Elephas maximus indicus: one gene and its partners. The protein of the gene in region 1 binds, or shares a complex with, the protein of each later gene. Links are inferred from orthologs where the notes say so. Each region holds a gene or a part of one and is shown on either strand. Other genes may lie near its edges.

What was found.
Region 2: the proteins of KAT7 (region 1) and BRD1 are in contact, whole or in part, in a crystal structure (PDB 5GK9), measured with the Homo sapiens proteins. The link is inferred for Elephas maximus indicus from reciprocal best matches to the Homo sapiens genes KAT7 and BRD1. Residues at the interface, in NP_008998.1 of Homo sapiens: Leu531, Phe534, Gly536, Lys537, Glu538, Ile539, Ser540, Ile541, Lys542, Pro552, Val553, Val556, Gln560, Leu565, Tyr567, Lys571, His572, Leu573, Val574, Leu575, Lys576; in XP_047297239.1 of Homo sapiens: Val40, Ile42, Glu43, Ile44, His49, Arg50, Ile51, Ser52, Ile53, Phe54, Asp55, Pro56, Leu57, Glu58, Ile59, Ile60, Leu61.
Region 3: KAT7 (region 1) and JADE2 share a complex: the UniProt entries of both Homo sapiens proteins name them as parts of the HBO1 complex. The link is inferred for Elephas maximus indicus from reciprocal best matches to the Homo sapiens genes KAT7 and JADE2.
Region 4: KAT7 (region 1) and JADE3 share a complex: the UniProt entries of both Homo sapiens proteins name them as parts of the HBO1 complex. The link is inferred for Elephas maximus indicus from reciprocal best matches to the Homo sapiens genes KAT7 and JADE3.

The regions. Positions count from the first base shown.
Region 1 is NC_064837.1:43,821,505-43,829,005, reverse strand, and holds the start of KAT7 (histone acetyltransferase KAT7), read left to right. Parts: upstream 1-4,370; 5' UTR 4,371-4,540; coding exon 4,541-4,555; intron 4,556-6,965; coding exon 6,966-7,113; intron 7,114-7,501. UniProt on the Homo sapiens protein: Catalytic subunit of histone acetyltransferase HBO1 complexes, which specifically mediate acetylation of histone H3 at 'Lys-14' (H3K14ac), thereby regulating various processes, such as gene transcription, protein ubiquitination, immune regulation, stem cell pluripotent and self-renewal maintenance and embryonic development.
Region 2 is NC_064822.1:195,899,378-195,907,093, forward strand, and holds the start of BRD1 (bromodomain-containing protein 1), read right to left. Parts: upstream 3,254-7,716; 5' UTR 3,215-3,253; intron 2,934-3,214; exon of another isoform or gene 1-2,933. UniProt on the Homo sapiens protein: Scaffold subunit of various histone acetyltransferase (HAT) complexes, such as the MOZ/MORF and HBO1 complexes, that acts as a regulator of hematopoiesis.
Region 3 is NC_064820.1:146,948,860-146,957,193, reverse strand, and holds the start of JADE2 (E3 ubiquitin-protein ligase Jade-2), read right to left. Parts: upstream 3,316-8,334; 5' UTR 3,256-3,315; intron 2,046-3,255; exon of another isoform or gene 1,391-2,045; coding exon of another isoform or gene 988-1,390; exon of another isoform or gene 937-987; intron 750-936; coding exon of another isoform or gene 613-749; intron 152-612; coding exon of another isoform or gene 1-151. Other genes in the region: WW domain-binding protein 11-like, read left to right, coding at 1-151, 613-749, 988-1,390. UniProt on the Homo sapiens protein: Scaffold subunit of some HBO1 complexes, which have a histone H4 acetyltransferase activity. Acts as an E3 ubiquitin-protein ligase mediating the ubiquitination and subsequent proteasomal degradation of target protein histone demethylase KDM1A.
Region 4 is NC_064846.1:125,006,201-125,014,207, reverse strand, and holds the start of JADE3 (protein Jade-3), read left to right. Parts: upstream 1-4,967; 5' UTR 4,968-5,396; intron 5,397-8,007. UniProt on the Homo sapiens protein: Scaffold subunit of some HBO1 complexes, which have a histone H4 acetyltransferase activity.

The DNA of each region.
Region 1 (7,501 bases):
GCGTCTCAAAAGAAAAGCCTGGAAAATTCAGCCATTGAAAACCCTATGGATTACAGTTCTACCCTGATACATGGAGTTGCCATAAGTTGGAATCAACTCTGTGGCAATTATTTTTTTTGTGGCTGGAGGCGTTTAGAGAGCTTACGAATGTAACTGAGAAAGACATAGATATGGTAAGAAAAAACACAAGGACAGACATAAATGACAGCCCAACTCACCTCAGGATGGCTCTCCTGCCATTCTGATTAGTCTCCCTCACAGCTGCCAGAAGAGATCTCTAAAATGCAAGTCTGATCATGTGACTCCTCTGTTTAAAATCCTTCACAGGTCCTCACCTCTAGAAGAGTCCAGGTTCCTTAGCAAGGCGTTCAAGATTCTTCATGAACTGGTTCCCAAAACCATTCCCACCTCTTCTTTTGGCAACTGCCCCAACTCCACCATGTGGAGTTGGTCACCCCTGCATACCATGCTGCTCCATATGTCTGCACTTTTGCACATGCTGTTCCCTTTACCTCAAAAGCCCCTATTCTCCATGTCCAATGGCAAACTTATTTGTCCTATGAAATTCCACTCTTTTCACAACTTCCACGAATCCTTTCCTAAGCCTTCCAGATGAAACGCCCACTTCCTCCTCTGTACCACTTCTGAATCTTGCTCAGCCTTCTATTTTCGTATGTAGTACTCTACAGTGTTTTGGAACTCTGAGCTTACTGGCAGGTCTTCCCTACTGGACTCCAAGATCCTTCAGGGGAAAAACAGTGTTTTGTCCATCTTGTTATGACTCAATGCTTGGTTTATAATGCCTGAATAATTACTCTGTGTCTGCTGAACTGAACTTAGGTTGAACAGACAAAAACAAACCATTGAGACTGTCCTGGATTGAATTGTGTCCCCCCAAAGTATTTGTCAACTTAGCTGGGCCATGATTCTCAGTATTGTGTGACTGTCCACCATTGTATGTGATTTTCCTGTATGTTGTAAATCCTATCATCATGGTGTAATAAGATGGATTAGTGGCAATTATACTGATGAGATCTACAAGATTAGGTAGTGTCTTAAGCCAATGTCTTTTGGGATATAAAAAAGAGAAGTAAACAGAGAGACATGGGGACCTCATACCACCAAGAAAGCAGTGCCAGAAGCAGAGCGAGTCCTTTGGACCTGAGGTTCCTGAGCTGAGATGCTCCCAGACCAAGGGAAGACTGATGACAAGGACCTTCCTCCAGAGCCGACAGAGAGAGAAAGCCTTCCCCTGGAACTGACACCCTGAATTCAGACTTCTAGCCTACTGGACTGAGAGAGAATATGCTTCTCTTTGTTAAAGCCATCCACTTGTGGTATTTCTGTTATAGCAGCACTAGATAACTAACACAGATAAAACAGATACCACGTAAATACATATTCACAAACATTAAGATGTATAACCATGATTAGGGTGAAAGAAATTATAAATAGCAGTAACAACAGCCATTTGTTGAGCAGTTATTCTATGTTAGGAAATGTACTAAGTGCTTTACAACAGTCATCTCTTCTATTCCTTACAACAACCCTGTGGGGTGGCCATTAGTATCCCCACTTCCCAGGTGAGAAAACTGAGGCATAGATCAATTAAAAAACTTACCCATGAGCAATACAGATAGAAAGCAGCAGAGATGAGATTCAAATCCAGATCTGACATCAAAGTCCTGAACTGGACAGTAAAAGGGCTGATAAATAAAATAAACAGGAGTTATGTTTCTAATTATCTGGCCAGGAAGGGGAGTGAGGAACAGAACATCTACCAATTGTACAAAGAAAAGTGTAACTATAGCAGCAAGGACAAAATCACATATCACTATATTCTCCTACCTTAAAAAAATAGCAGCAAGGACAAAATCACATATCACTATATTCTCCTACCTTAGGAAGAATAAATCAGGAAAAACTTTGAGAAGAAAGTAAATTTTAAAGAGAGTTGGGAGATACATCCAGGGAGGAAGAAAAGACTTTGTGAAGCTATAAAGGCAGGAAGAACGGTGGAGAGTGCCTCCATGAAGTCTTGTGGATGAGGATGGGCAAGGGGGCAACTGGTCAAAGGCTTTGAAACCAACCTCGATTTCTGCTTTGAACACTAACTGCACCACGATGAAAAATGACACACGAAGGAAAAGTTATATTTGGTTGAAAAAGAAAAAAGTTTCTAACATCCTCCCCACCCCCATTTTTACCATACCTAGCTGGTCTACTCTCATCTTAAATCTTAAGTACATATTCTTTCCCTCAGAAATGTATTTCTAGCCTACCGGTATTAGTTTTTTCATCTTTCTGCCAGAGTGTACAGTTTTCTCGGACCAGAACTATGTCTAAATGAAACTGTAAACTCTTCAGCATCAGCTGCAGTTTTAAGAGAATCTAGTGCAGGCGCTTAACTAATGTTTAACATTTGGAATGCTGATATTTGTATTATGAATGGTTAAGTTAGATAAGGTCTTATTGTAAAATACAAATTTCCAGGGAGGGAATACTTCACCATTTTTGAGTGTTAAGATGTGTAACATCTTAGAGACTATAAAATTATAACAATACTCTGAATAGCAAGCATTTACTATGGGCACAGAATGGTCTAAGTACTAGAATCGAGATAGGTTCTTAACCCAAGAAGTCCTTACCACTAGTAGGAGAGCCAGACATCCAAAAGTGACCTCAGGAACACACCAAAACCATTGCCATCGAGTCAATTCTGACTCACAGCGACCCTGTAAGACAGGGAAGAACTGCCCCATAGGGTTTCCAAGGCTTTTTTTTTTTTTAATCTTTATGAAAGCAGACTGCCACATCTTTCTTCTCCCGAAGAGTGGCGGGTGGGTTGAACTGCCCACTTTTCAGTTAGCAGCTGAACGCTTAACCACTGCCCCACCAGGGCTCCTCAGGAATACACCACTAAGTGCAAAATAACAGAGTAGTAGTGTGAAATAGAATGCTTAAGTGCTGAGGGGATACAAAGAAGAAATGTGAGCTACTTTCAAATAAGTTCTTATGTGCAGTTCAACCTAAGCAGGTCATTCAGAAATATTTATGCTAAATACTAAAATTCTAAATACTAGAAGCTGCCAGTGTCAACACCAGCCCACAACATCCCCAAGGAGAATGCTGGCCTAAGTGTCTGGAAATCTCACTCTTTAGAGCCCTCTGTTAGCACATCAATCCGAAGTTTACCTTCCGTTGCTTTGTTCTTTAGCTCTGCTCCTGGGGGAAATCTCCATCTTTCCCGGCCTCAGGTTGAAACTTGGGTCCAGGGTTCTAACTTAATGACTGAGCTAGCCCAGATTCCACCCAGTCGCTCTTGGCCAAGCCTTGGTCCTCTCAAAGGTTTTCCTCCAGAGAGATTCAATCTTCAACGCCTGCTCTCCACTTTCCAGCCTTTTCATATGCTCTTCCTCTAGCCTTTTACCCTTGACTAACTCCTTCCTAGCCCTCTCCAAAGTAGGCCCTATTATTATTATTTAAGATACTCATGCCGTTCTGAGATCCAGCTTCCCCAAAATATTCTTTCCACTCCCACCCTACCCCAACTCCTGGCTCAGGCAGCTGAATTTCTAGAGGTCGCAGTTCAATGCTTCTCCGACTCTTGTACGGCACCCTCACATCCACGTCGTATTTTCACTCGTGGTCACCCAGCGCTCTCCAAGCCAAAAATAGGGGAGGAAGGAGGTGGGCGCTCACCACAGAGCTAAATTGGGAATTCTGTGGAGCCACGGCTTCTGGAGAACGGTTTTGTCTCCTCCCGCGACATGAACGACAAACTTACTTGCAGTTCGCCAAGGGGAAGGACAATGTCTCCTTTACTAGACAGGAAACTTCCTGATGATGGAGGCTACCCTTTCATTCCTTTTACAATCCCCCATTTCCACCTCTTTGACACACAGGACAGCTCTTAAAACAGAAAGTTCTTTATCAAAATATCCCTTCCCAACTTTGAGTTTATATAATAAACGGAAACGTCCCTTAGCCAATTAGGCAACGAAGGGGTTAAATTTCAACAACCTGATGGATTCTGGGGATTTCCTACCTTTTCGCCATTAAATTAAAACTACTGGGAAGGAAAGCTTTGCCCAAGATAAAGATGAAAACCGTTAACGTCTACTCTTAGGCTTCTGCCCAAACAAGAACGGCTACCCAAGCCTACAAACGGCGCCATTAGCCTAACCAAAAATGGCTGGCCCCAGTTTCCACCAGCTATTTTTTATGCCCCTTTCTGCCCAACTCCAAAATGGCGCTCACTAGCCTCACCAAAAGAGGCGAGCAACACGCCCACCTCCCAGCACCCTCTTTGGCCCGAAACGTCAGGTGACGCGAACCCCAGCCGGAAGTGAAGGAAAAAGCGCCTCGGCCCGCGGCGCCTGCGCAGAAGACTCTAGACGCTGTGAGGCAAGAGGCACTTGGGATCGTCCGCAGAATTGGGACTGCTACAGAGGCCGCCACGGAGCCCGCCGGAGCTACCGTTCCTACTGCTGCCGCCGCCGCTGCCCGAATCGGAACCATCGGGCCGCAGCCGCCGGCAATGCCACGAAGGAAGGTGAGAGAAACGGGAGGGGAGGGATGGCGGGTTTCTAAGGCCAGTTGATTGAGCAACGTGACGCAGTTGGCCACGCCTCACAGTGGTTGGGTTCCAGCTTCCTGCTCCCTTGAACTTAGCTCAGCGGACCTCTCTTCTGGCCATACCCGACAGAAAAATGTGGGCCCGACCCTGGCCTCGGCCTGTGCTTGTGACTATTCCCGCCCTCTACTTGGCTGGATCGGAGGCGTTCTTACCGTTAATTGGCCGCTGAAACGTCTGGGAGCATATTGATTGGCTGGTGACACCGCCTGTTAGGGCTCAACGGTCACCTCCCCGCGTGCGGGAGCGGTGCCTGGACCGGCCCTACCGCGCTGCAACTGGCTGTAGGGAACGATCCCTCCTCTCTTCATTGGCTGCGTCGGGCCAATCTGTCCCGTGGGGGCGCGGTTTAGCAGGATTTCTATTGGGTGGCACGAATCCCCTCCTTTCCGGGTGGCGATGCTGTTGGTGTAGAGGCGGGGTTTTTGAGGACTTTTTTCCAGGTGGGTACAACAAAGCTGAGCGCTGGGTCTTAGGGAACCAGGGCGTGCTCCCAAGGAATACCGCTCAAGCTTGTTGAGTCTAAGACGTATTTTTCATCATTCGCTTTGCTCGGTGTAAGGGACTTAAAAGATGGTCTAGGAAACCCCTCCCCACACACTTTTTACATCTGAGTAAACAAAGTCTAGTGGTGTGCGCAAAAGCTCTCCGCAATGGCAGAACCAGAAAAAAAAAGTACACGACAAATCTAATTCAGCAATTGTTTATTGACTGCTTTCTACATGCTGGTTGCTAGAGATTCAAAAATTAATTTGACATGATCCCTGGTAAGGAATACAGACATAAATAACTAAAAGGATCTAGTGCTTGCTCTGTTTAGAGAAATACGTGGGAAGGAGGTGAGGGAGCAGTTAAGTCTGCTCTGGAGAAAGATGGAGGAGTACGCTGCCAAAGAGAAGGGCAGAGTTCCAGGATCAAGCCAGGGAGGAGTGGTCAGAGATGATCAGGAACTCAAATATCCGGGTAATTGGACTTGATTAAGACTCCACCTTCGTCCCACTGATTCTCTGTGACACTTTCCCATGGCCTCAGTTCACTTCTGGGCTGAGTTCAATCTGATTACCCTTAAGCTGGGTGATAGTCTTGCTTGTTTTTGCAAGAATTTTTATAGAGGCTTTCAAATAAATGTGTATAGTTTATGATGTCTCCTAAAATGATCTGAGCTGTAGGTGGTATTTATGTTAAGGCTCACCAAATGCAGGAATAGTATCAGTACCTTGCAATAGGTCCACAGTTCCCTTTTTTGCAATTCCCAAATACAAAGAGCAAGTTTTTTAGTAACTTGTTTGGTGACAAAGCCTGCCCTAAACTGTCTTGAGGCTATTTATGGTTTTTATGTATCTATTTAGTGTGATTGTATAGTTTGCTGTGGAAATAGTAATGTGTTGCTTATAGAGTATTTGTAGGATCTGTGCAAAAAGATTTTCCTTCCCAAAAATCTGTGCAAAAAAAGTATTTCTTTTCCCACAATCTATAAAATTATGAATTTGAAACAGCTGGCCCCCAGAGTTTTTAATAAAGGATCCAGGACTTGTAGTTTGAAGCTTTTTTTGTTTTTAGGAAGTATTCTTTTCTTTCTGGTTTAATAAAGGGTATGGTGTTAATACTCATTTGATGAAAGTTATCCTTATGGCTAATTACACCTGAGGACGCTAATAATTTACAAATGATCATTAATTGAAAAGATGATAAATCACCTCCGTGTTCGAATACCTTCTAATCTTCATTTGCCAGCTGCCTTTTTCAGCACTTTGGATATTCATGCAAAGAAACTTCAAGGCTAGATGACATAGAAGGAATTTGTATCTTTTTCTCTTTCTGCTTCAGTTCTCTTGAGATCAGTGCTGTGGACCATGCTATTTTGTTTTTTTGGTTTTACATTGTTTTTTAAAGTGTGATAGCTATCAATGGAGACTTTGAATAAAAGCTACTCTAAACTGAAATGGGGCCCAGCACCAACATTTTTCTCACTACCTTGAGCTTTCTGTAGGTGCATGGTTATGTCAGCTAGACCATTTTCAGTTGGGTATTTTTATTTCTAGTTTGTGGTACTGGTCTCCAAAGGGACTTGTTTCAGGATTAGTGATATTACACTGTTACCTGTCTGTTTTCATTTACTTAACAATGGCACATTACTTGTAGGTTGTTCCATATAAATGTCCTAAATAAAGGGAAATTGGCTCTGGGCTGGGAAGGGAACTGTTTGTGGAATCCTTTCTTAGGTTTGAACTTGATGTTTTCAGCATCATGGTACATTTTATTTCCAGTGTTAATACAGACCCACAGAGTAAATGCTTCTGTACTAATGTCTGGATCTATGGTGTTACAGAGGAATGCAGGCAGTAGTTCAGATGGAACCGAAGATTCCGATTTTTCTACAGATCTTGAGCACACAGACAGTTCAGAGAGCGATGGTACTTCCCGACGATCTGCCAGAATCACCCGCTCCTCAGCCAGGCTGAGCCAGAGTTCTCAAGGTAAAAGGCTTCATGCTTCCTGACCACTCCTCAGAGTTGACTGACTGGTTAGCACATTATTTTTCTAATAATGTGGCAACTGGTCTCTTGGCTTGGTGCAGATGACAGAATCTGGTGAACTACAAGGAGAATAACTGTACAAGTATCAGGTCATATGCAAAAGATGGAGCATAGTGTTCTTAAAAGGTGTCATTGGCCATGCCCTGGACATCTGAAACAGCTAGAAAATGCTTGAGCTCTGGGTGTCTTAAGGAGCCTTGGTGGTACAGTGGCTATACACTCAGCTGCTAACTGAAAGGTCAGCGGTTTGAATCCACCAGCTGCTCCAGGGGAGAAAGATGTGGCAGTCTGCTTCTGTAAAGATTACAGCCTTGGACGCTATGGGGCA
Region 2 (7,716 bases), on another chromosome or scaffold:
AACCCTGTGTGCTACGGGGAGACCATCTTCACCCTGGGAGGATACAGCTCAGCTTCTAGGGGCCACAGCAGTGGGACCACTGGGTGGTCTCTCAGCCCCAGGATTTAACGCTAAGCTGGGCTGTGTCCTCTTCCCTGGTTTTCAAGGAAAGGCCACAGGTGTGTGACATACATCTCTGCCCCTTCCTGACATGGTGAGAAACAGCAGTTCCGCAGAGCTCAGCTTTGGTCCGGACTGGCTCCCCACCTGCTGCAGAGCCCCCACCATGCAGCCACCCATGCCACAAGGCTGGTGGCTGGCCCAGGTGCCTGAACAGGTAACCGTAGAGATTTATGAGAATTTGCTCTTCTCAGACACGGACGAAATCAGTGAGCGCGCCCCATCCCTTCACTGTCTGAATATTGCCTGTTTCTAGGGCTTCCTTGATAAAGATGCCTCCTAACTCTGGACCCACGTGCCGAGCAGGGTGTCACCTTGGGGTACGTGCTGGGCGCCAACGAGAAGACCACTCGGACTTCTCCCTGGGAACATTTTATTTACAGGAAGCAAAATAATTTTAAGAGATCAGCTCATTGATACTCCGTACAGAACCCAGGGCCTGGCTGCTGTGCCTGGCTGGCTACGTCGAGGTGGCGAGGGGCACCTTGGGAGCCAGAATCCACAGCCTCCCACTGACTCAAGCTGACTGCACTTCCTAGGTCCCAAAAAGAAATCCCAGCAGATCCTGAGCACACTGTTTAAGACAGGCCCTTCAGATGATGGTTTTCTTATTCTTTGGTCGACAAGAAACCCACCTCTAATACTGAGACGACACAGGAATTTCTATGAATGGCAAACACCATAGTCAGCCAACCCCAATTTGCCCGCAATTGAGGGGCCCCCCAGTGCCCCTCAATCCTGGATCTCCTCTGGGCCGTCAGCAGAGCCCCCTCTACCAGCACGCACGCCCATAGGTACAGCCAGAGGAGCCCACCAGCCAGCAGGAGCCCAAATGCCTCCCAAGTGGAGCTAGGCACAGCCCCAGGATGTCAGCACCACAGCCTTCAAGGAGGGGACCCTAACGCACCCAGGGATAGCTTCACAGTGTCATTACTGAGGTGGGGCAGGAGCAACAGTTGGTTACTCGCCAGATTAAAAACAAAGGTATAATTTTCTCCTCTCCAGCAAAGCACCAACAAACTCCAACTATAATAAGCCCTTCAACATCTAAACCCTCCCAAATGGGTACTGAAACCCTTTATCTGACCACATTCTACACGAAGAATTTAACCTAACACTTAATGGTGACAGCAGCTCTGTAATTTGGAAGCATAACTGTGACCAGGGAAAAAGGCATTTAGCAGCAGGGTCCAGCTCAGGACGACACAAGGCCTCACTGTCCCATCATTTCCCTGAGCCACAGGTCTGTCTCTGGCCCTCAGCTCCCTCCATACTCTGTACAGGGACAAGCACTGCAGGAGAAGGGGATCAGCAAGGACAGTATCAGCAAGGACAGTAACTGTGTGTGCATGTGTCTTGGGAAATAATTTTGCTAAATCCATCCTGCAGAGCCACGAAGGACAGGAAACGCCAGACTGGTATCAGCTCACATTGCTCAAATTAGTTTTATTCCCTGCCTGGCTCTGGACAGGTCATTTAAATCCCCCTAGCCACTGCCTGCTCTGCTATAAAGTGGGAATGGGAAGAACAGACACCTTATCGAGCTGTGTGAAGAATAAATGGGTTCATACAGAGCACTAAGAACAGTGCCTGGCAGCACAGGTGCTGCTGTTATTAGGTGCCATCCAGTCAGTTCTGACTCCTAGCGACCCAACGTATGACAGAACGAAACACTGCCTCGTCCTGGACAATCCTCACAATCGTTGCTGTGTTTGACACCATCGTTGCAGCCACTGTGTCAATCCATCTTGAGTCTTCCTCTTTTTCGCTGACCCTCTACTTTACCAAGCATGGTGTCCTTCTCCAGGGACTGGTCCCTGGTGATAACATGTCCTGAGTTTGTGAGACAAACTCTCGCCATCCTCACTTCTAAGGAGCACTCTGGGTACCAAGCCAGATAAATATATAGTACCAGGATTTCATAAACTATATTTTAAGCAGTGACAAGCCCTTAAAAATAGACCCAAGCAGGAGCAAACTTTTTGGGGTGCTGGGAATGCTCTTGATGGGAGTGGTGGTTTCCTGGATGTACACACACTTGTCAAAACTCAACTGTGTACTACTAAGAGATATACGTAAGTTATACCTCCACAAAGTTACTTCTTCGAGAGAGGCCCGGGAAAGCCAGGATGCCGATTCACTTCCAGGTGCTGAGTGACAATGCTACCCAGTGCTTCATCCCGAGTCCCAAATCTGCAGGAATGGCTGACTGATAGCCACTTGCTCCTGAGACCATCTCTACACCCAACTTATCGAGCCCAGCAAATGTTGCACAGCATGGGACTGAGAAAATCCGCAGAGGTTTGCCAACGTTTCTTGTTAAGAAATCTTCAAAGCACGTCCCTGTTAACAGGGAGTTTCCTGTCTTGGCAAAACAGAGTTTTACATAATGCAACCAGCACGTCAAAGAGATATGCATGCAACCGACGGGGAGCACAATGAGATTCTCTCCTGGCCGTAATTAGAACGTGACCGTGGGTGCAGGCTCTGGGTGCAGGCTCCGGGCCGAGGCTTTCGGCGCTGACCACTGGCAGGGCCGGGCCCACTCCTCCTCCCGGGTCCCGGCCCTCTCCTTCTCCCGGGGCCCGGCCCACTCCTCCTCCCAGGGCCCGGCCCACTCCTCCTCCCGGGGCCCGGCCTGCAGAGCCTCTCCTCCCCGGGCCGGGGCCGGAAAAGGCGCCGACCTCCCGAGCCCACGGCCCCCCAGGCTCCCGCCGCCAGCAGCGGCCTCAGCGGCAGCGTCCGACCCGCCATCGCGGCCCCCGGCGGGACCGGGCAGCGAACGCGGCGGCGGGCAGGGCCGAGCCGGGCCGCCGCGGCCGGACGCCCGGGGCCTGCGCCGTCCCCCGGCCTCCCCGTCGCCTCCCCGGCCGCCCGGCCCCGCTGACAGCGCCGCCCGGCCGCCCCCGCCCGCCCCGGCCCTGCCCGCGGACAATGCGCCGCCAAACATGGCGTCCGCACAACAAGCCCACGAGAGGCCGCGGCCGAGGGCGGCGGCGGGGCCGGCGGCCCGCGAGGCGGGGGGCGGCGTCCGGCCCGGACCCCGGCCACTCACCTTCGGGGCGCCGCGACCGCGGGAGCCCGGCGGGCGGGCGGGCGGGCGGGCGGGCGGCGCGGGGAGCCGGCGCGGCCGAGGCGGCGCTAATGGCGCCCGCGGCTCCTCCGCCAACGGCCGCGCAGGCCCGGCCCCGCCGCCGCTCCTGGGCGCGGGCTCCTCTCGGCGGCGGCGGCGGCGGCTCCGGGCCCGGCGGGGCGGCCGCGGGCTCAGGCAGCGGCTCGGGGCCGGCTCGGGGCCGGCTCGGGGAGGCCGCTCGCGGAGGAGGCCCGGCCGGGGCGGCGGCGGCGCGGGGCGCGGGGCGCGGGGCGCGGGGCTGCTCGGACGCCCGGGCCGGGCCACTCGCTCGCTCCCCAGCGAAGCAAACAATGCGGCGAGCGCTCCGCCCGGCGCGCTGCGTGCAGACGCGCCCCGCCCGCCGCCGCCCCGCCCCGGCCGCCCCGCCGCCGCCACCGCCATGACGCGCGGCCCGGGCTCGAGGCGGGAGGCTGCCGGCGGGGCAGAGGGGCCTGGCTGGGAGCTTACGGGGATTGAGGGGCCTGAAGGGGCCGAGGCGAGGGGGCTAGGGAGGGGGAAACTGAGGCGGCGCCCACGGAGGCAAGGGGGGCCTCGGGGGGGGCTTACCGGGACTGGGGGGCCTGAGGGGACGCTGGGAAGGGACACCGGCAGGGCTGAGGGGAGCCTTAGTGGGGCTTACCGGGATTGGGGGACCTGAGGGGGCTGGGGAGGGGGGGACTGAAGGGACGCCGCTGGGGTGGGCTGGCTTGAGAGGGGGCCCTGAGTGGGGGCTTACCAGGGTGGAGGGGACCTGGGGGGGCACCGGAAGTGGTAGCTGGACCGGGGTGGGGACCCCGAACGGGGAGTGAGGAGAACCTGAGGAGGGGCAGACCTAAGTGGGTGCCATTGGGAGGAGCCTGGACCGGCTGGGGGGACCTGAGGGGGTGGAGAGAGGGGGCAGCTGCATGGAGGAGGGAGACCTGAAGTGGGGCCAAACTGGGGTGGGGGCGCTGGTGGGGGACTGAGGAGAACCAGGGAAGGGGGTTATTGAGAGGAACCTGAGGGGTTGCCAAGTGGGGTGAGAGCTGAGGAAGGGGGATTACCTAAGGGGGTGATGAGTCCGGGGTGGGGACCCCTGTCAGAGAAATGAGAACTGAGGGAAGGGGGCCTGGGCAGGGAGTGGAGAGCACCAGCAAGGGGAGTAACCACAGGGGAGTGACTGGGTGGGGGCTGTGCCGGGTAGGTGTGGGAACCTGAGGGAGAGCCAGATGTGGGGTGCTGGTTGGGGCAATGAGGGAGACGGAGGGCTGGACCAGGGAAGAGGGTGCCAGGTGAAGGTGGGGGAGTGGGGAGCTAAAGATTCCCAGGCTGGAGGAGGAGGACCAAAAGAGGGCCCCTGAGGGGAGATAGAGGAAGCCCCCGCTTTTCTTTTAACTGTTATGTACCCAATATGGGACTAATTAGGTCCTGAACACCTTACCTAGGATCAGTAAAACAGCCAGATACCATATTAAGATTCTCCAGAAAACAGCCCTTGGGGCAGGAGTTGAGAGCGGAGTCCTACTCTCCCAACTGGCTGCTATTTAAAATCCAATGAGGGCATGACAGTTTTCATCCTGAGATTAAGTCCCAAAATGTTTTGAGACATGAGGGAAACCTAGTGGTTCCTTGGTTTCCTGGGAAGATTCCCAGTTAGTCCCGTAGGGGTGAAGGAGCTCCTGGCTGTGTGGAGAGCCCAGCCTGTGGCAGCGGGGAAGAAGAGGGCCTACCCTGCCCCAGGACAGGCTGCCTTACTCCACGTGGACAGGCAGGGCAGGGTCCACCACAAGGGCCTCCATCCAATGCCTTATTGGGAGTAGGAAGGCCCTGTCCACCAAGTGTCCCAGGTAGGGCCAAAGTGCCACAGGCCTACTGGCCAGTAAATGGACTTTACTGTGCTCAGTTTATGGGTTGGGAAGTGAAGGCTTGGAGATTGGGTCAGGACAGCAGCCAAAGTCACCCTGTGGTCAGCCTTAAACAGGGTCTCACCTCAAAGCTGGTTCCTACACCAGACCCAGGAGCCACACACCAGCAGGAGCTGCAGAATTCGCCTCCACTCTACAGATGTGTGTCTGTCAGAGTCCACATGTGCCAGGGCAGCCACCAGTGGAAGATAGCCGAACGGGGCCCACACCCTCATCTCCTCCAGGTGCCTTTGTTCACCTTGGCCAAACCAGGTACAAACCAACAAGCTGGACGATGTGCAGAGAGCAAAACTCAGACTGTCATGTGGAGGAGAAGATGAAAAGACACGCGTGGAGTCCTTTTCCACAGAACAGGAGAGAGTCGTGGGGACAGTAACTTCTCAACAAACAGCCAAAGTGATGGCCAGGAGGGGTGAAGGAAAAGACGCACATAGAGGCATGTCAGTGTGACGCTCTGGACTTCCAAGAACAAAGAGAATAGCTCCAAGTACAATGGCCAGTATCAGGAAACAGCAAATAACAAGTGTTGGAGAGGATGTGCAGAAACGAGCTCTTTCGTCCACTGCTGGTGGGATTTTAAAATGGTGCAGCCTCTGTGGGAAACAGTTTGGTGGGTCCCCGAAAAGGTAAGCGTAGAATTACCACGTGACACAGCAATTCGACCCCTGGTATACGCTCAAAAGACTTGAAGGCAGCAACTCAAACGGATTATTTGTACACCGACATTCACTACAGCATCATTCACAATAGCCAAAACTTGGGAACAGTTCAGCTGTCCCTTGTCAGATGAATATATAAACATAGTGTGATAGGAGTGTACAATGGAGCCATAGAAAGGAGTGAAATTTTAATACGTGCTACAACTTGGGTGAACCTTGAAAACATGTCAAGTGAAATGAGCCAGATCCAAAGGACAAATACGTGATCCCAGTTATGTGAAATATACAGAATAGGCTGATGCCTAGAGACAGAAGTGGTGACCAGGGGTTGGAAGGAGGGGGGAATGGGGAGTTACTGCTTTGTGGGTAGAGTTTCTCTCTGGGGTGATGAAAGGTTTTGGAAACAGAGTGATGGCAGTCGCACAACATTTTGAATATAGTTAACGCCATTGAATTGAACACTTAAAAATGATTAGGTGGCAAATTTTATGTTATATACATCTTGCCACAATAAAATTTTTTAATTTAAAAAAGAATAGCTCAAAAACTTCCAGAGGGTTCAGTGCAGTGAATTGCTTTTATATGATCCTTTTAGCCATGGTCTTGTAACTTCTGCGAAATGATTGAGTGAAACCAAACCCATTGCCGTCAAGTTGATTCCAAGTCATAGCAACCCTATAGGATAGAGTAGAACTGCCCCCAAGAGTTGCCAAGGAGCACCTGGTGGATCCAAACTGCCAACCTTTGGGTTAGCAGCCGAACGCTTAACCAGTACACCACCAGGGTTTCCAAATGATACGTAAATAAGGCATGTAAAATGCTTGCCGGGATTGGCTGCAACAATGAGCTCAAGCATAACAACGATTGTAAGGATGGCGCAGGACCGGGCAGTGTTCCATTCTGTTGTGCATAGGGCTGCTATGAGTTGGAACCGACTCGACGGCACCTAACAACATCCCACCAAGGGGATAGTGCAGTTTTGCTGTCCCACTAGGTTTATAAAAAGCAAATCCCAGAGACTGAGGGGAGACCTCACAGTCATCAAGAAGAGCCAGAAGCAAAGCGTGTCCTCTGGACTCAGGGTTCCTGCACTGAGAGCCTCCTAGAACCAGGAGACAGAGCTGTGACACCGCACACAGCAGCAGCGTGAGATAGCAAGAGAGAGCACAGCAGCAGCATCGCAGGATCAGCAGATGGCTGCAGAGGACTTGCTGAGCAAGAGAGCTGAGCGCCTTCAGGCATGAGGCTTCCTGGCGGGACGGGGTGCCCCTGGGCCCTTAAAGGCGAGCTAAAGAGCTGTAAGACTTGCCCAGCAGCAGAGGCCTGCCTAGGCAAGGTGGAGAAGCTGTCCTGATGGACGAGTTGTACCCTGAGTTGTCCCTGTTACTGCCGTATTGATTCTGAACCCGGAGTTGTAACTGAATTTTTGAACTCTGCAGAGAAGTGAGAGTGCCATGGGCAGGAAGGATGGTGTCAGAGTTGGTAAAAAGGGTTGGTAAAAAGGGTTCCTCGTGGGAATCAGCCTTGGGCTGATGGTGATTCTCTCTCCTCCTCCTGAAGTTAGACAAGGTCTGACGCTGCCACTTTACAGAGGGAAAGGATCTTCTTTAGAGTTATTAAGACTGAAACCACAAAACAGCAATTCTGAAAATTCTGAAGTTGAACCTGGAATCCCGTATGTACTGAAACTAGCATTCAAGTGAGACAGCAAGATAAAGGGTGTCTTCACAGACCTGCAGACATCAGCATTTACCCCCCACCATGTCTCTAAAAACTTGCTAAAGCACATACTCTAGGGAAACGAAAAGTGAACCCAAGAGTAAGACATGGATGCCAGCAAAGGAACCAGTTCTGACTGTTAAAATTCCAGGAAGAAATTCCC
Region 3 (8,334 bases), on another chromosome or scaffold:
GCTGGAGGCGCGCCGGCGTGATTCCGACCGCGGGAGCAGGGAGGAGGAGCCGGAGGTGGCTGCGGGGGGCTCTGGCCCAAGCGAAGGAAGGGCAAAAGGCTGTTCGGGCCCCGGGCGGCGCAGGGAGGTGGGCGTGACGCCGGTGTGGAAGGTGATGCAGGGAAGGGCAGCTGCGCCCTTTGAGGGGTGGGTAGCAGTGTGTTGTGGGCGACTGGGTTGGCGGGGCGGGAGGGTGGGGGGAGTTCCTGGGCCTCTGGAAGCTAGAGTGAAGCCTTCCTGCGGGTTTCACAGACATCCCCATACTCCGACAGAAAGCCGAGACTCGCCAGGCTAACCCCTCCTATCCCATAGTCGGGAGAAGGGGTTGTCTCAGAGCTCAGGGATGGGCGGGAAGGGACCGGAGGGTGCTAGAAGTCTGCACCCAGGCGAGGAGGCGGCGGGCGGGAGCCGCTCCGCAGACGCAGGCGAGTGGGTGGGAGGGAGGGAGGGAGGGAGGAAGGAGGTGAGGCCGGGAAGATGCCACTGCCGGGGGCGGGGCCGGGGATCTGGCAGAGGGACTGCAGCGGTGCTTGGTGGGGGCAGGGGCTGCAGTATCACTCATTTGGGGGTCAGGTGTGTGCGTCCCAGGCAGGGGCTGCCGCTTGCCTGCATCTTCCTGGTACCACCCAGGGCGCAGAGGCGGAGGCAGAGGGCAGGGGACTGCAGAGCCGTCCCCAGAGCGGGACGCGAACCAGCAGAGTTGGGAGAAGGTAAACAAGGGCCACGCCCCCTGCCGTCGCCCCGCGGGCGCGCACCCGCCGCTCCGGCCGCCGCCGGTACATTTCCACTCTCCCAGCGCCTCTCCCCCGCTGGACTCCCGCGCAGCCCTGGAGGGGGAGCTGCTCTAGACCCCAGCCTGCACCCCCTACGTTGGGGCCGAGCACCATCCACACTCACCTGGAAAGGGTGTCCCACGCCCCTCCAAAAAACTGTGTCTAATTTGTGCAGAGCCTCCGCGCCCCGGAGCCGAGCATGCTGCCCCCGCGTGCTGCCCCCGCGTGCACCCAGCCCAGAGAGGGGGAGACAGGGCGGAGGCTGTGGCCCCTGGAAGGTGTCTGGGGCCGGACCCGCTGCACGTGAGCCCTGCGCGGGGTCATGTGCACCGGTCAACCCGGTTCGGCGCCCGGACGTGCTGCGTATCAACAAAATGAAACTCAGGGCGACAGGAGGGCAGATAGCTCCGGGTCCTCCGAGTGTTCCCCCCCAAAAGGCACTTGACCTCCCCCCGCACCCTTACCCCGCCGCAGCTCCTCCGCCCGGCCCGAACCCGCGGGGCAAGTTGCAGCCCCGCCGCGCCCCCGCCCGCCCGCGCCCCCTCGCCGGTCCGGGGGCGCTTTGCCGCAGTCATTAATAAAGAAGGTCGCCAAGCTCACCCTTCCAAAAGTTGTTGCATGCGCCCCTCTCAGCCTCCCCGCACTGTACTCTTTAAAACACGACTGACCAACATGCGCAATCTCTCTCCCCTGTGCTGTGCATCCCCCCCACCCCCCGCGCGCTGGCTTCCTAGAACAGGCAGCCAGCAGGAGAGAGAGGGAGCGAGCGAGCAAGAGAGAGAGCGAGGGAGCAAGGAGCGCTGGCAGATCTGTTGCAAAAACACAAAATAACGCCGTGGAGATGCGCAGGGCCCATCCGCCGGGGACTGGATCTTACCTTGCAACGTGATGCCCTCCCGAAGGGCGCTGCCCTCGGCTACGCGCCGCGGCGGGGGCCGAAGCGGGAAGGATGCTCCCGAAACCCGGAGCTCCTCGGGCCGGCGCGGGCGAGCGGGGGGCGCGCATCCATCCGGGGTCGCGGCGAGGGAGGCAACCCAGCCCACGGCGTCCCCGGCCCCGCGCCCCTGCAGAGGACTGTCGGTCCGCCGGACCCAAGCCGGCGCCGTTATGAGTGGGCGCAAAGTAACTCCATGGACGCTACTACCCCCCCCCAAAATAGCCTCCCACTGCGATGGCCGCGGTCGGCACCATTCACCAACCCCCTGTGTATGTTTCTGTTTCTTTTTAAACCAAGACTTCCTTGTGATCTCTTTAGAAAAAAAAAAAAATGTGTTGGGGTGGGGGTGGGGGCGGGCGGGAGGAGCGAGGGAGGGGGAGTAGCCACTTTTTTCTTATTCACTCCGATCTCTGCCGACAGCCCCCATCGTCCGTTCCCCCTCCCCCCGCCCAGTTTGGCTCCCGCAGCGGGTCCAGGTAGCTTTACCCGTCCCAGGGGGAGGGTGCTCTGCCGGGCCGCCGCCTGCCCACACCCCGGGCCTGGACTCCCCACGGGCTCTGGGGCGCCCCCAGCCCGCCCTGTCCCCAGGGCAGGGCCCGAGCGGCAGCAGCGCCCGTGCAAGTCCCATCAGGTCTGCTCACACTTCACACACTCACATACATACCCCGCCCCTCCACTCTCTCACTCACACTTTCTGCTCACACCCCGCCCCCTTCGCTCCCCAGACCCGGGCGGCGCCCCCCGCAACCTTAAAAAAAAAAAAAGGCAAGCTTATACTTAAAAAAATCTTTTGGCGCCATATTAATGACGTACTTAAAATTTGCCATTTCTCCCTGCGTCAAAAAGACGTTTCTTTGCAAATAACAGCCTGAAGGCGACACTCGCGGAGGGAACGAGGTTTGCACTGAGCACCCCGCCCCCCGGGGAACCAGCGTTAGAAGACCCTCGCCCTAGGCCCAGCTCCTGAATCGCTGGTTTTAAAATACGAATCGAATAAATCGCGTGGCGTTTTGCAGCACCAGAAGTGAGCAGAAAGTGTGGGCAGGAGCGGAGAGGAGGGGCACGCGGGAGTCTAGAGGAGGGGGCGCGGCCCTCCTCCTCCACCCACAGCAGATGGAAACTAACATCCGGGCGGGGGAAACTTGAAATTATGGGCGACCTCAAGAATGGAGGGGCGGTCCGTAGAGAGGGTCCCTCTCGGGGTCGTCGCCCCCTCCCCCTGCTAGGGTGCCTCCTGGTGCCCACTGCTGCCCCGCATTTCCGGGGGGTGGGGAACGCGGTGATGGGTGGTGGGTGGGTGCACGTCCTGACCCCGGTAGGAGTTTTCATTTACCCCAGGGTAACACCGTCCCCCGTGGTCACCACCCCATTCTCCAGTGCCCCCTAAAGGGTTAAAAACCGAGGGGCAACTTCCAAAGACTGGCACTTGGCGAGGAAGCGGGGCGCCCCTCTCCCCACCCCTCGCCTCCTCGTCCCTCCTCCTCCGGCTCCAGTTCCCGACTTGACCTTGTGGTGCACAAACAGTGCGCTCGATCCTTGCAGTTTCTGGAAGAAGAGCCTGCACTCGCCGGGCGGGCGGGCGGGCGGGCGGCTCGCGGGCGGTGGCTGGGCCTTGGGGCCGTTCCCGGAGCCACACCCACCCAGCCTGCTGCGCCCGCCGCGCTCACCTTCTCTCGAGGAAGGAGAAAGGCTGGTCTCCTGGATGGAGCTGCAGCCTCCTCCGGTTGCCCCCTAGCTGGGGAGGGGGTGGTCTGGTGTCGGGCGGGGGAGGAGAAGGGGGAGACCTGGGAGCTCGGCTTAACATCCCCAAAGCATCACTGCCAACTTATCCCCCCCCTTCTTGGCTGCCCTTCAAAGATGATCCAAGAATTTTTTTCAGCTCACCTTTGGCTTTGAAGGCACGTGGGTGAGTTGTGAATGGGTACGGGAACCTCCTTCTCTCTCCAAGACTGAGGGTTGTTTATTCTTTCTTTCCCCTCTACACACCCTTCTATGGAAAGATAAATATTCAGTTCACTTGAAATGACATTTATGTGACAATTAAGAAGATTCCCCGATGGAATGTTGTGAACACATTTGCTTATAGGAGAAATAAATCTAATAATAAACAAACTCATAATAACAGCACAAATCCTCTGACAGGGCAGATTGTCTACACAACAAAGAGGGAGATGATGAATGCTGAAATAAGCACTTTTTGCAACAAGAAAGAAATATGAGCTCAAGGGAGTCACTGCAACATTTCTCATCCTTGGCCTACATTGGCAAAGTCTGGGGAGGCTCCTCTAGCAAGAGGAGGGAATGGGTATCACTTCTTGGTTAGACCTGGCTCTGGCTCTCATTGGCAATTGACAGAATTTTCCTAAGCCCAAACTCAGTGCCTGGAAACAGGTGTCAGGGTTGTGGTACTGTAGCAAAATGGTAAAATTCCTGGGTTCTAATCCTGGCTCTGCCATTCAGCAGAAGCTGTGTGGTATGGGCAAATGAATGGGCCTCTTTTTCCTCATCTGTAGAATGGAGTGATTCGAGGGTTCTTGAGGCCATATTTGCACTCTCTCTGGTGTGGATGTTTGGAAGGGTGAATATACTTTCTGAAAGCTCTTAACACTGGAAAACTGGGGACAATAATTTCTGTTTTTCTCTCTATAAAGACACACATAAAATCTCCCAGTGTAAGCAAAAGAAAAGGCCAGGGGAGAAAACCATAATATATGGTCAAGGTCCAGACGGTAGTTTCAGCCACACTGTCTAGGGCCCAGCAGGAGGAGGGAAGGGCCAGACTACAGTGGCAGAGTCCAGGGAGTCTGCTCTGGTTGGGTCTGGCTGCAGAGCATTTATATGCAGGAGAGGACAGGTCAGGCTCCCTCCTCCTAGCCATCAGGTTCCCATGAACTGGAATGGGAAAATACCTTGGCACACATTTATAAAATGACCTAGGGAAATGGAAGACCATTTATAGGGCACCTGCTGTGTGCTGTGCATTGCAAGCCTTTCCATTTCATCCTTACAAAAACCTTGTCTTATGCAGAAAAGGCATTTGACAAAGTCCAACACCCATTTATGATAAAAACTCTTACCAAAATAGGAATTGAAGGAAAATTCCTCAACATAATAAAGGGCATCTATGCAAAGCCAACAGCCAATATCACTCTAAATGGAGAGAACCTGAAAGCATTTCCCTTGAGAACGGGAACCAGACAAGGATGCCCTTTATCACCGCTCTTATTCAACATCGTGTTGGAAGTCTTAGCCAGGGCAATCAGGCTAGACAAAGAAATAAAAGGTATCCGGATTGGCAAGGAAGAAGTAAAGTTATCACTATTTGCAGATGACATGATTATATACACAGAAAACCCTAAGGAATCCTCCAGAAAACTACTGAAACTAATAGAAGAGTTTGGCAGAGTCTCAGGTTATAAAATAAACATACAAAAATCACTTGGATTCCTCTACATCAACAAAAAGAACACCGAAGAGGAAATCACCAAATCAATACCATTCACGGTAGCCCCCAAGAAGATAAGATACTTAGGAATAAATCTTACCAAGGATGTAAAAGACCTATACAAAGAAAACTACAAAGCTCTATTACAAGAAATTCAAAAGGACATACTTAAGTGGAAAAACATACCTTGCTCATGGATAGGAAGACTTAACATAGTAAAAATGTCTATTCTACCAAAAGCCATCTATACATTTAACGCACTTCCGATCCAAATTCCAATGTCATATTTTAAGGGGATAGAGAAACAAATCACCAATTTCATATGGAAGGGAAAAAAGCCCCGGATAAGCAAAGCACTACTGAAAAAGAAGAAGAAAGTGGGAGGCCTCACCTTACCTGACTTCAGAACCTATTATACAGCCACAGTAGTCAAAACAGCCTGGTATTGGTACAACAACAGACACATAGACCAATGGAACAGAATTGAGAACCCAGACATAGATCCATCCACGTATGAGCAGCTGATATTTGACAAAGGACCAGTGTCAATTAACTGGGGAAAAGACAGCCTTTTTAACAAATGGTGCTGGCATAACTGGATATCCATTTGCAAAAAAATGAAACAGGACCCATACCTCACACCATGCACAAAAACTAACTCCAAGTGGATCATAGACCTAAACATAAAGACTAAAACGATAAAGATCATGGAAGAAAAAATTGGGACAACCCTAGGAGCCCTAATACAAGGTATAAACAGAATACAAAACATTACCAAAAATGATGAAGAGAAACCCGATAACTGGGAGCTCCTAAAAATCAAACACCTATGCTCATCTAAAGACTTCACCAAAAGAGTAAAAAGACCACCTACAGATTGGGAAAGAATTTTCAGCTATGACATCTCCGACCAGCGCCTGATCTCTAAAATCTACATGATTCTGTCAAAACTCAACCACAAAAAGACAAACAACCCAATCAAGAAGTGGGCAAAGGATATGAACACACATTTCTCTAAAGAAGATATTCAGGCAGCCAACAGATACATGAGAAAATGCTCTCGATCATTAGCCATTAGAGAAATGCAAATTAAAACTACGATGAGATTCCATCTCACACCAGCAAGGCTGGCATTAATCCAAAAAACACAAAATAATAAATGTTGGAGAGGCTGCGGAGAGATTGGAACTCTCATACACTGCTGGTGGGAATGTAAAATGGTACAACCACTTTGGAAATCTATCTGGCGTTATCTTAAACACTTAGAAATAGAACTACCATACAACCCAGAAATCCCACTCCTAGGAATATACCCTAGAGATACAAGAGCCTTCATACAAACAGATATATGCACACCCATGTTTATTGCAGCTCTGTTTACAATAGCAAAAAGTTGGAAGCAACCAAGGTGTCCATCAACGGATGAATGGGTAAATAAATTGTGGTATATTCACACAATGGAATACTACGCATCGATAAAGAACAGTGACGAATCTCTGAAACATTTCATAACATGGAGGAACCTGGAAGGCATTATGCTGAGCGAAATGAGTCAGAGGCAAAAGGACAAATACTGTATAAGACCACTATTATAAGATCTTGAGAAATAGTAAACCTGAGAAGAACACATACTTTTGTGGTTACGAGGCGGGGAGGGAGGGAGGGTGGGAGAGGGTTTTTTTATTGATTAATCAGTAGATAAGAACTGCTTTAGGTGAAGGGAAAGACAACACTCAATACATGGAAGGTCAGCTCAATTGGACTGGACCAAAAGCAAAGAAGTTTCCGGGATAAAATGAATGCTTCAAAGCTCAGCGGAGCAAGCGCGGGGGTCTGGGGAACATGGTTTGCGGGGACTTCTAAGTCAATTGGCAAAATAATTCTATTATGAAATCATTCTGCATCCCACTTTGAAATGTGGCGTCTGGGGTCTTAAATGCTAACAAGCAGCCATCTAAGATGCAGCAATTGGTCTCAACCCACCTGGAGCAGAGGAAAATGAAGAACACCAAGCCCACATGACAACTAAGAGCCCAAGAGACAGAAAGGGCCACATGAACCAGAGACCTACATCATCCTGAGACCAGAAGAACTAGTTGGTGCCCGGCCACAATCGATGACTGCCCTGACAGGGAGCTCAGCAGAGGACCCCTGAGGGAGCAGGAGAGCAGTGGGATGCAGACCCCAAATTCTCATAAGAAGACCAAACTTAATGGTCTGACTGAGACTGGAGGAATCCCGGCGGTCATGCTCTCCAGACCTTCTGTTGACACAGGACAGGAACCATCCCTGAAGACAACTCATCAGACATGAAAGGGACTGGTCAGCGGGTGGGAGAGAGACGCTGATGAAGAGTGAGCTAATTATATCAGGTGTACACTTGAGATTGTGTTGGCAACTCTTGTCTGGAGGGGGGATGGGAGGATAGAGAGAGAGGGAAGCCGGCAAAATTGTCAAGAAAGGAGAGACTGAAAGGGCTGACTCAAGACGGGGAGAGTAAGTGGGAGTAGGGAGTGAGATGTATGTAAACTTATATGTGACAGACTGATTGGATTTGTAAACGTTCACTTGAAGCTTAATAAAAGTTATTATAAAAAAAAAAAAAAAAAAAAAAAACCTTGTCTTACCTGTTCAGAAAGGGTTAGTAACTTATCAACAGCCACATAGCTTATAAGTGGTGGCAGAATGGGCACCTGGGTCCAGCTGACCCCAAGGCCTATGGAAACTACATAGGTTTCCATTTACCACAATGCTAGAAATAAAAAGTGTTGTATTTGATTGGAGGTAGGGGCCTGATCGCCATTTTGGCAAGACTGAGCAGGATTTTACTGGTGCCTCTTTTCCTCTGAGGCGTTCCCCAATTTTGGGTGAGACCTAGGGCCTCTAAAAGATCCTTGGGAGATACCTCTTGCTGAGGTCTGGAAGCCCTATTAAGGCCCTCAGGTTCCCACAGGCCTCTGCTACTGTTTAAGGTTAACCTTGGAAATGTTAACATAATGATAAGACTAATTATAACTCTTTAATCTTTATTAAAGTCTCACAAATCATTAACTTTTTACAGAAAAAAATTGAGATGAAACAGAGTTCTTGGAGATATAATCATTTATTCAATGGACATTTATTGAGGAGGGCCCTCCTGT
Region 4 (8,007 bases), on another chromosome or scaffold:
CACTATGAGTTGAAGCTAACTCAACAGCACCTAAAAACAACAACAACATCTTTTTCCTCCTGAGTTGTTTTCAATCATGTTAGATTCTTAAAACAAAAATTATAACACCTTCTGATGTTGGGATCAATGTATGTAGAAGAAATAGATAAGGAAATTATATTTTAAAGTCACTCACACGAAAATGGATCAATGTCCTAAATATAAGAAACAAAACCATTAAATTCTTATAAGAAAACATAGGGGTAAAGCTTCAGGACCTTGTTTTTGACAATGTATTTTTAGGTATGACACCAAAAGTATGAGCAACAAAAGACAAAACAGATAAACTGGACTTTATTAAATTCCAACTTAACATTAAAAACTTTTGAGCATTACAGGACATTATGAAGAAAGCAAAGAGACAACCCAGAGAATGGGAGAGGCTACTTGGTAACCACATATCTAATAAGGGTTTAATATCCAGAATATGTAAAGAACTCCTATAACTCAACAACAAAAAGGCAACCCAGTGAAAAAACAGGCAAAGTACTTGAATAGACATTTCTCCAAGGAAGATATACAAATAGCCAATAAGGACATAAAAAATGTTCAAACATCATTACTCATTAGGGAAATGGAAATCAAAACCACAGTGAGATACCAGCTCATACCCACTAGGACGGCTATTATCAAAAAGAAAAAAAATTGGAAAATGACAAGTGTTGGTGAGGGTGCAGAGGAATTGGATCCCTGTAGCATAGTTGGTAAGAATGTAAAATGATGTAGCTGCTGTGGAAAACAATTTGGTGGTTCCTTAAAAAGTTAAACATAGAATTACCATATAAATCAGCAATTCCATTCTTAGGTATATACCCAAAAGAATTGAAAGCAGGACTCAAATATATACCTGTATACCAATGTTAGAGCAGCATTATTCATAATAGCCAAAAGGTGGAAACAACCCAACTGTCCATCAACAGATGAATGGATTAAAAAAAAAGTTATATATATACACACACACTGGAATATTATTCAGCCATAAAGAGAAATGAAATTCTGATACATGCTATGACATGGATGAACCCTGAAAATATTATGTTGAGTTAATTAAGTCAGACACAAATGGACAAATATTATTTGATACCAGTTATATGAAATACGTAGAATAGGTAAATGCATACAGACAAAAGTTTATTGGTGGTTACCAGAGGGCGTGGGGAGGTGAGAATGAGGAGTTATTGCTTAAGGGGTACTTAGTTTCTGTTCGGGGTGATGAAAACCTTTTGGACACAAATAGTGGTGATGGTTGCACAACATGGTGAATGTAATGAATGTCACTAAATTATGACTCTGAATTGTGACAACCACTTAAAATAGTTGAAATGGCAAATTTTTGTTTTGTATGTTCTACCACAATAAAGTTTTTTTTTTTTTAAAGAAAAATACAGTTTGAGGGTAAAGGGACCTAAATAAAAATAAGATTTCTACACTTTAATGGAAGTGGTAAAATGTCAAGAACAGTAAGCTGTGATAAATTCCATATGTATATTTTAATACCTACAGCAAACACTGAGAAAACTATACAAGGTGATTGTCTTAGTTATCTAGGGCTGCTATAACAGACATACCGCAAGTAGATGGCTTTAACAAGGAGAAATTTGTTTCCTCACAGTAAAATGGGCTAAAAGTCCAAATTCAGGGCTTCGGCTCCATGGGAAGGCTTTCTCTGTCCACTCTGGAGGAAGGTCATTGTCCTCAATCTTCCCCTGGTTGAGAAGCTTCTCAGATACTGGGACCCCGGGGCCAAAGGATGTGCTCTGCTCCCAGTGCTGCTTTCTTGGTGATATGAGGTCCCCCGTCTCTCTGCTCCCTTCTCTCTCTTACATCTCAAGAGATTGCCTCAAGACACAATCCAATCTTGTATATTGAGTCCTGCCTCACTAACACAACTGTCACCCATCCTCATTAACATCATAGAGGCAGGATTTACAACATATAGGAAGATCACACAATACTGGGAATCATGGCCCAGTGAAATTGATACATACATTTTGGGGGGGACATAATTCAATGTATGACAGTGCTATTCTCAAAAACAGTATAAATAAGTCAAAATGAAATTCAGAAAACGTTCAATTAACCCATGGGAAGGAAAGAAAAGGGAAACAGGAGTATAAAAAACAGGGGAAACAAACAAAAAACAAATAATAAAATATCAGACTTAAGCCCGAACACATCAATAGAGCTAGGTGAAGATTTCTTTGTTATGATACCAAAAGCATTTTGCATTTTCATAAGTGCAAAAATTGACAAATTGTACTTCATCAAAATTATAAAATTTTGGTCTTCAAAATATCTTAAGAAGATGAAAAGACCAGCTACATACTGGGAAAAAATATTTCCAAAGCACGTATCTGAAAGAAGACTTACATCTATAAAAAAAAAAAATTTCATCTATAATATATAAAAAATTCTAAAATGTAACAATAAAAAATAATCCAGTTAGAAAATGGACAAGCTACATGAACAGACATTTCACTGAAGAGGATATACAGATGGAAAATAAGCACTTGGAAAGATGTGTAACATCATTAGCCATTAGGGAAATGCAAATATTACTACACACCTATAAGTACGGCTAAAATAAAAATATAGTGATGATACCAAATGCTGGCAAAGATGTGGAGAAACTGGGTCTCTCATACATTGCTGGTAGGAATGTAAAATGGTATAGCCAGTCTGGAAAATTGTTTGGCAGTTTCTTATAACACTTACTATATGATCTAGCAATTGCGCTGCTGGACATTCATCACAAAGAAATAAAAATTATATTCACACAAAAACCTCTACATGAATGTTTATAGCCACTTTATTCTTAAGCCAAAAATTGGAAACAACCCAAATGTCCTTCAGTGGATGAATGGTTAAATGAACTGTGGTACATCCATACCATGGATAGCAATATAAAGGCATGAACATGCAACAGCTTAGGTGGATCTTAAGGGAATCACCCTGAGTGAAGAAAAGCCAAACTCAAAAAGTTACATACTATATGATTCCATTTATGTGGTTTTCTTGAAATGACAAAATTATAGAGATGGAGAAATGTTAGGGGTTGTCAGGGGTTAGAGAAGAACATGGCTGTGACTTAGGGTAGCAGGAGGAATCTTTGTGCTACAGGAACAGTTGATTGTGGTAGTTACAGAAATCTACACATGTGATAAAATACAGAAACAGAAATGAGTACATGTACAACTGGCAAATCTGAATAAGGTCTGTGGATTGTACCAACATCATTATCCTGGTTTTGATGTTGTATTAAAGCTATGTAAGATATTACAATAGGGGGAAACTGTGTGAAAGGTACACAGGACCTCTCTGTAATATTTTTTGCAACTCTCTGTGCATCTATAATTATTTCAAAATAAGTTAAGTACAATGAAATGAGGTAAGTTTGAAGGACTATATTTTAGAACAGACACATTTGTGTATTATGAAAATAAAATTACATCTTTAATATGGAAAACAGGCAAAATACAAGAGCCTTGACATTATTTATCCTAGAAATGTAAATGAAATTGACTATATGAATTAATCATAACTGCACATAATATATTTCCAAACCCAGATAGGTAAATCAAGAAGGTCTGTTCCTTAAACATTTGCGTCAGGGTTCAACCAGAGAAGCAGAACCAGTAGGAGATAATAGAGAAATGTGATTTTATATATATCCCAAGCCCCTATACACACACGCATATATGAAACCCTGGTGGTATAGTGGTTAAGCACTACCGCTGCCAAAAGGTCGGCAGTTCAAACACACCTGGCAGTTCAAACACACCAGGCGCTTCTTGGAAACTCTGTGGGGCAGTTCTACTCTTCCTATAGGGTGGCTATGAGTCAGAATCAACTGGACGGCAATGGGCATATATATATATATATGCATATATATTCATTCATATATTTATATTTATTTAATTTATTCATTGCAAGCTACTGGTTTACACTACTGCGGTGGCTGGCTAAGCACATCCAAAACTTGTAGGGCAGGCAGGAAGGGAAGATCACGGGCAAGTTGTAAACCCTGGGCACAGACCAAAGCTGTCTGTCATCCATAGGCAGAATTTCTTCTCTTTTGCTCACATTCTTGGAAACCTCGGCCCTGCTTTTAAGGTCTTCCAACTGATTCAGTCAGGCTTACCCAAATTATCAGAATACTCTCCCTTACTTTAAAGTAATTGATTAGGAGTTTTAATTATATCTGCAAAATACTTTCACAACACCTAGATTAGTGTTTGATTGAATAACTGGGAACTGTAGCCTAGCCAAGTTGACACATCAGAAAGCCACACAATATCATAAACCATTTGTACTTGTTTTATTCTGGTAAAAGCAACCTTGGCTGTATGATTATAGCTAATTAAAGCGCAAACGACCTAAATCAATAGTGGCTGAAAATAAGTTTCATATATGAGAGTCCCACTTATAGAACTTTAGAGCTGGGGGGGATGGAGAGCTGCGCTCGTATTTCAACACAACCAAAGCACTTCCACGCCGTGCTACAGCACGCGCAGCAGGAAGGGAGAGGAACCTACCTGGAGCATAGCGGAGCGGGTGCCGGCTCACAAAGGGGGCGGAGCTTCGAGACCCGTGGCGGTCGCCGTGGCGCCTGGCCCGCCAGAAGAGCGCCGCCCGCAGCCGGCGAGAGCCAGTAGCGGAGGGTGAACGCCGCCGCTGTGGGAGGGGGAACGGGGGGGGGGTGGCGAGGAAGGAAAGGGAAGAGGCGGAGCGTGGGAGCGCACAGTGTCAGGAATACAATAGTGCTCCGCGCCGCCTCAGCTGCCGCTGCCGCCGCCGCTGCCGCCGCCCAACCGCCAGCGCTAAGGCCCTGAGGGGCCGGGAGGGCGAGGGCCTGAGGGCGGGAGCTGAGGCGCGGGGGGCGGCCCCGGCGGATCAGGCTGCCGGGGAGGAGGGGCGGGGGTAGGGAGGGGATTAGGGGGCAGGTGCGAAGGAGGGAAGAGAAGAAAGCAAGCGAGTAGGGGGGCGGGTACCACCCTCACCAGACTCGCCGGCACATTACTGGCCCCAGCGAGGAGACGGGAAGGAGCCGCGACCCAGCTACGCAAAGGTAGGCGCCACAGACGCCGGACGCGGTGCCAGCGGGTTTGCGGGGCGTAGCGTCGGGCCGGCAGCGGGAGTGGAAGCGGCCGGAGCGGAGCGTCCCGGCCGGCCTCGCAGCCGCTCCAGCTCCACACTGCTGTCGCGGCCGGCGTCCCCAGTGCCCTCGGGCCGAGAGCGTTCGTTACCAGGATAAGGTGCCTGGCGGCCCTTCTCCCGGCCCGGGCAGTGCCTGTCGACCGGCGCGGGGGCGCGGAGGGAGGACGCTCGAGCTCGACCGCAGCCCCTGACTACTCCCGGTAGGAATTGAGCGCCATATCTGTTGTGGTTCCCTCCGGTGCTCCCTCTCGCGCCCTCTCCTTTCCTGCCCTCTGCCGGCTTTCGGAGCTCACAGGGTCAAACCCCCGGCGGGAGGACCTGCTCTGCCGGCCGCGCTGGGCCAGATGCTCTGATAAAGCCAGGGAGGACCGCCCTGGCTGTTTCGATATTGGGAGGCAGGAGGAACCGACTGCCTGGAGACGGGCAGACTGGTGGTGCGGGGAGCGGGCGGGGCCCCCAACGAGGCCCGGTGCCTACGGAGCGGGAACGCGGGCGCCCCGAACTTTCCCTCCCCCTCGCGTCATTGTTCGGACGCTGCCGTTCGGCTGCCGCCGCTTCCGCCGAGCGCTAGGCGGTCCTGGGAAAATCGTGAGGGCTTTCCAAGTCTTACGTGAAATTTTCCCACCTCTGGGCACGGCAAAGTTGTTAACTTTTCTGCAGCTATCAAGTTAGTTTTATTCCTTCTTCGTGGGGCAGTTAATTAAAAAGAAGAGCCTCTCCAATCTTTTTCTCTCGCCTTTTTTTTTTTTAAGTTGGATTTAAAACGCACAGGATAACCTAGGTTCATTATTTGTGAGGTGGGAAGGGGGCCGGATCTCGAATGAGTGACCGTAATGGTGGTATGTGAAGGCACGTTTAAAAGTTGATATTATTGTGTAACCCTGGGACATATGTAGCTCCTAGAGATTTGGCAATATACTTGTTTGGCCGCTTCTTTGACTCAGAAGAGTTGCAAGGAAATCCATGGCCTTAGGTGTGCGTGAGCTTTTCTTGATGTGTGATCGGTTATCTGAAGCTGAGGATGAGACACCACCACCACCTCCGCCAACCGATTGTGTGAGAAATCAAAACCGTGTTGATGGTGATTCCAGTGGCTTGGAGGGAGAGGCGATCTCATTCCCTGTATTCAGTCTGATAAAGATGACTGTCTCCTCTAAACCCTGAAATTAACGAAAAATGATTTAGGTAAAAGCTGGTTGCACAACATCTTGGCTTAGTTTGAGCAATCCCAAAATTCACTTTCCCAGAGTAGTTCTCGTTTTAAATACCTTCCCTGCAGCCGCTTCTTGTCAGCCAGAGGGAGAGAGTGAAAGCGTAGTTGGCCTGAACAAAGCATTGCATTTTTATTTAGTTTAATACTTTCATAACATCTGTAAACAGAGGGAATGTGAATCCTGGCCTTTGTATCCTTTGAGTAGAGTAGTTCTCATGCTTTTATAGAATCATGTGATTACTTTTTGGATGAGTGAAAATAGAATTTTTCTTTTTCGTTTGGCCTAGGAGTGTTTTATCTCCATAACGTATCATTTTCTCTCTCGTTTAAGGAGAACTCTGAGCTTAAAAAAAGATCCCTGGGGGCACAGTGGTTAAGCGCTAGGCTGCTAACTGAAAGGCGGGTGGTTGGAACCCACCAGCCACTCCACAGGAGAAGGATGTGGCAGTCTGCTTCTGTAAAGGCTACAGCCTTGGAAACCCTATGGGAGCAGTTCTACTCTGTCCTATAGGGTCGCTGTGAGTTGGAATTGACTCGATGGCAACAGGTTTGGTTTTTGGTTTTCCAAGCTTAAGTACCTGAGCTGTAAAAGGATATGACTACATGAGATCTTTGGGAAGTGCTTCTCGGTGCCGAGCACATACTAAGCTCTCAGTCAGCGTTAGCTCCAGTGATTGCCATGTTTTCTTCAACTTTGCTCTTCTGCACAGTTTTGTTTGCTAGAGAAGAGCTCTTAACCTAATATTGTTGCCTTGAAACAGCTCCTTGCATACTCCCTCCAGTCAGTTCTGGGGTGCAGGCCTGTTCTAGAATCCACACTTCCTATCTCCCCTCTTTTATGAGTCATATTGCTTTGGCAGTGTGGTAAGTGCCTTCTCACCTGTTGTTAGTTGCTGCGGAGTGGATTTAGACTCATGACTGTGACCAGTCTTGGTCACAGGTAGGGGAAAGTAGAGAAGGGCCTCCAACTCCTCCCTAAAGTGTTTGTGATTAGCTGGGAGCCAGCAGTGATTTGGAAGCACCAGACTTAGGGATGCCTGCTTTTGGGCCTGTAGAGGAGATTCCCAGGACCGGGACAGGTGATGGTACAGGGCTCTCATCATAGCTGAGAGCTGTGGATTGCAGAGTATTAAAATAAAGAACAAAGGATGTTGAAATGGGAGGTTGAGTATGATGCTCTCCTTTGATAATGCTTGTCTTTTCCCTCCCTTGTGATCCACCAGCCATAATGACCCATTTCTCCCCAAACCTGTACAAAGTCATCTCTTCTTTTTGCCTACTACTTTGAGGTCTGCCTGGATCTGGGCAGGTATTTATTTTTGGGGGGTGGAGTGGAGGAGGCAGGAGGCATCAGTGTTTGTGAAGACATAGCATTATAGACGACTCTTTCAAGCCTTGATCAGGGGTACAGAGATCAGGGCTAAAAATGAGGTTGAACATTATCATAGGACATAACACATCTACCTCCTCATCTACACCTCATCAAGCTCCCACAAAATAGGAGCAGAGGAAGGTAGAGGTCATATGCTGACTTATACTAAGAAAATCTCTCACTAGGGGATAAATTACCCTGATCTTTTTACTAGGTTAAGGGTAGG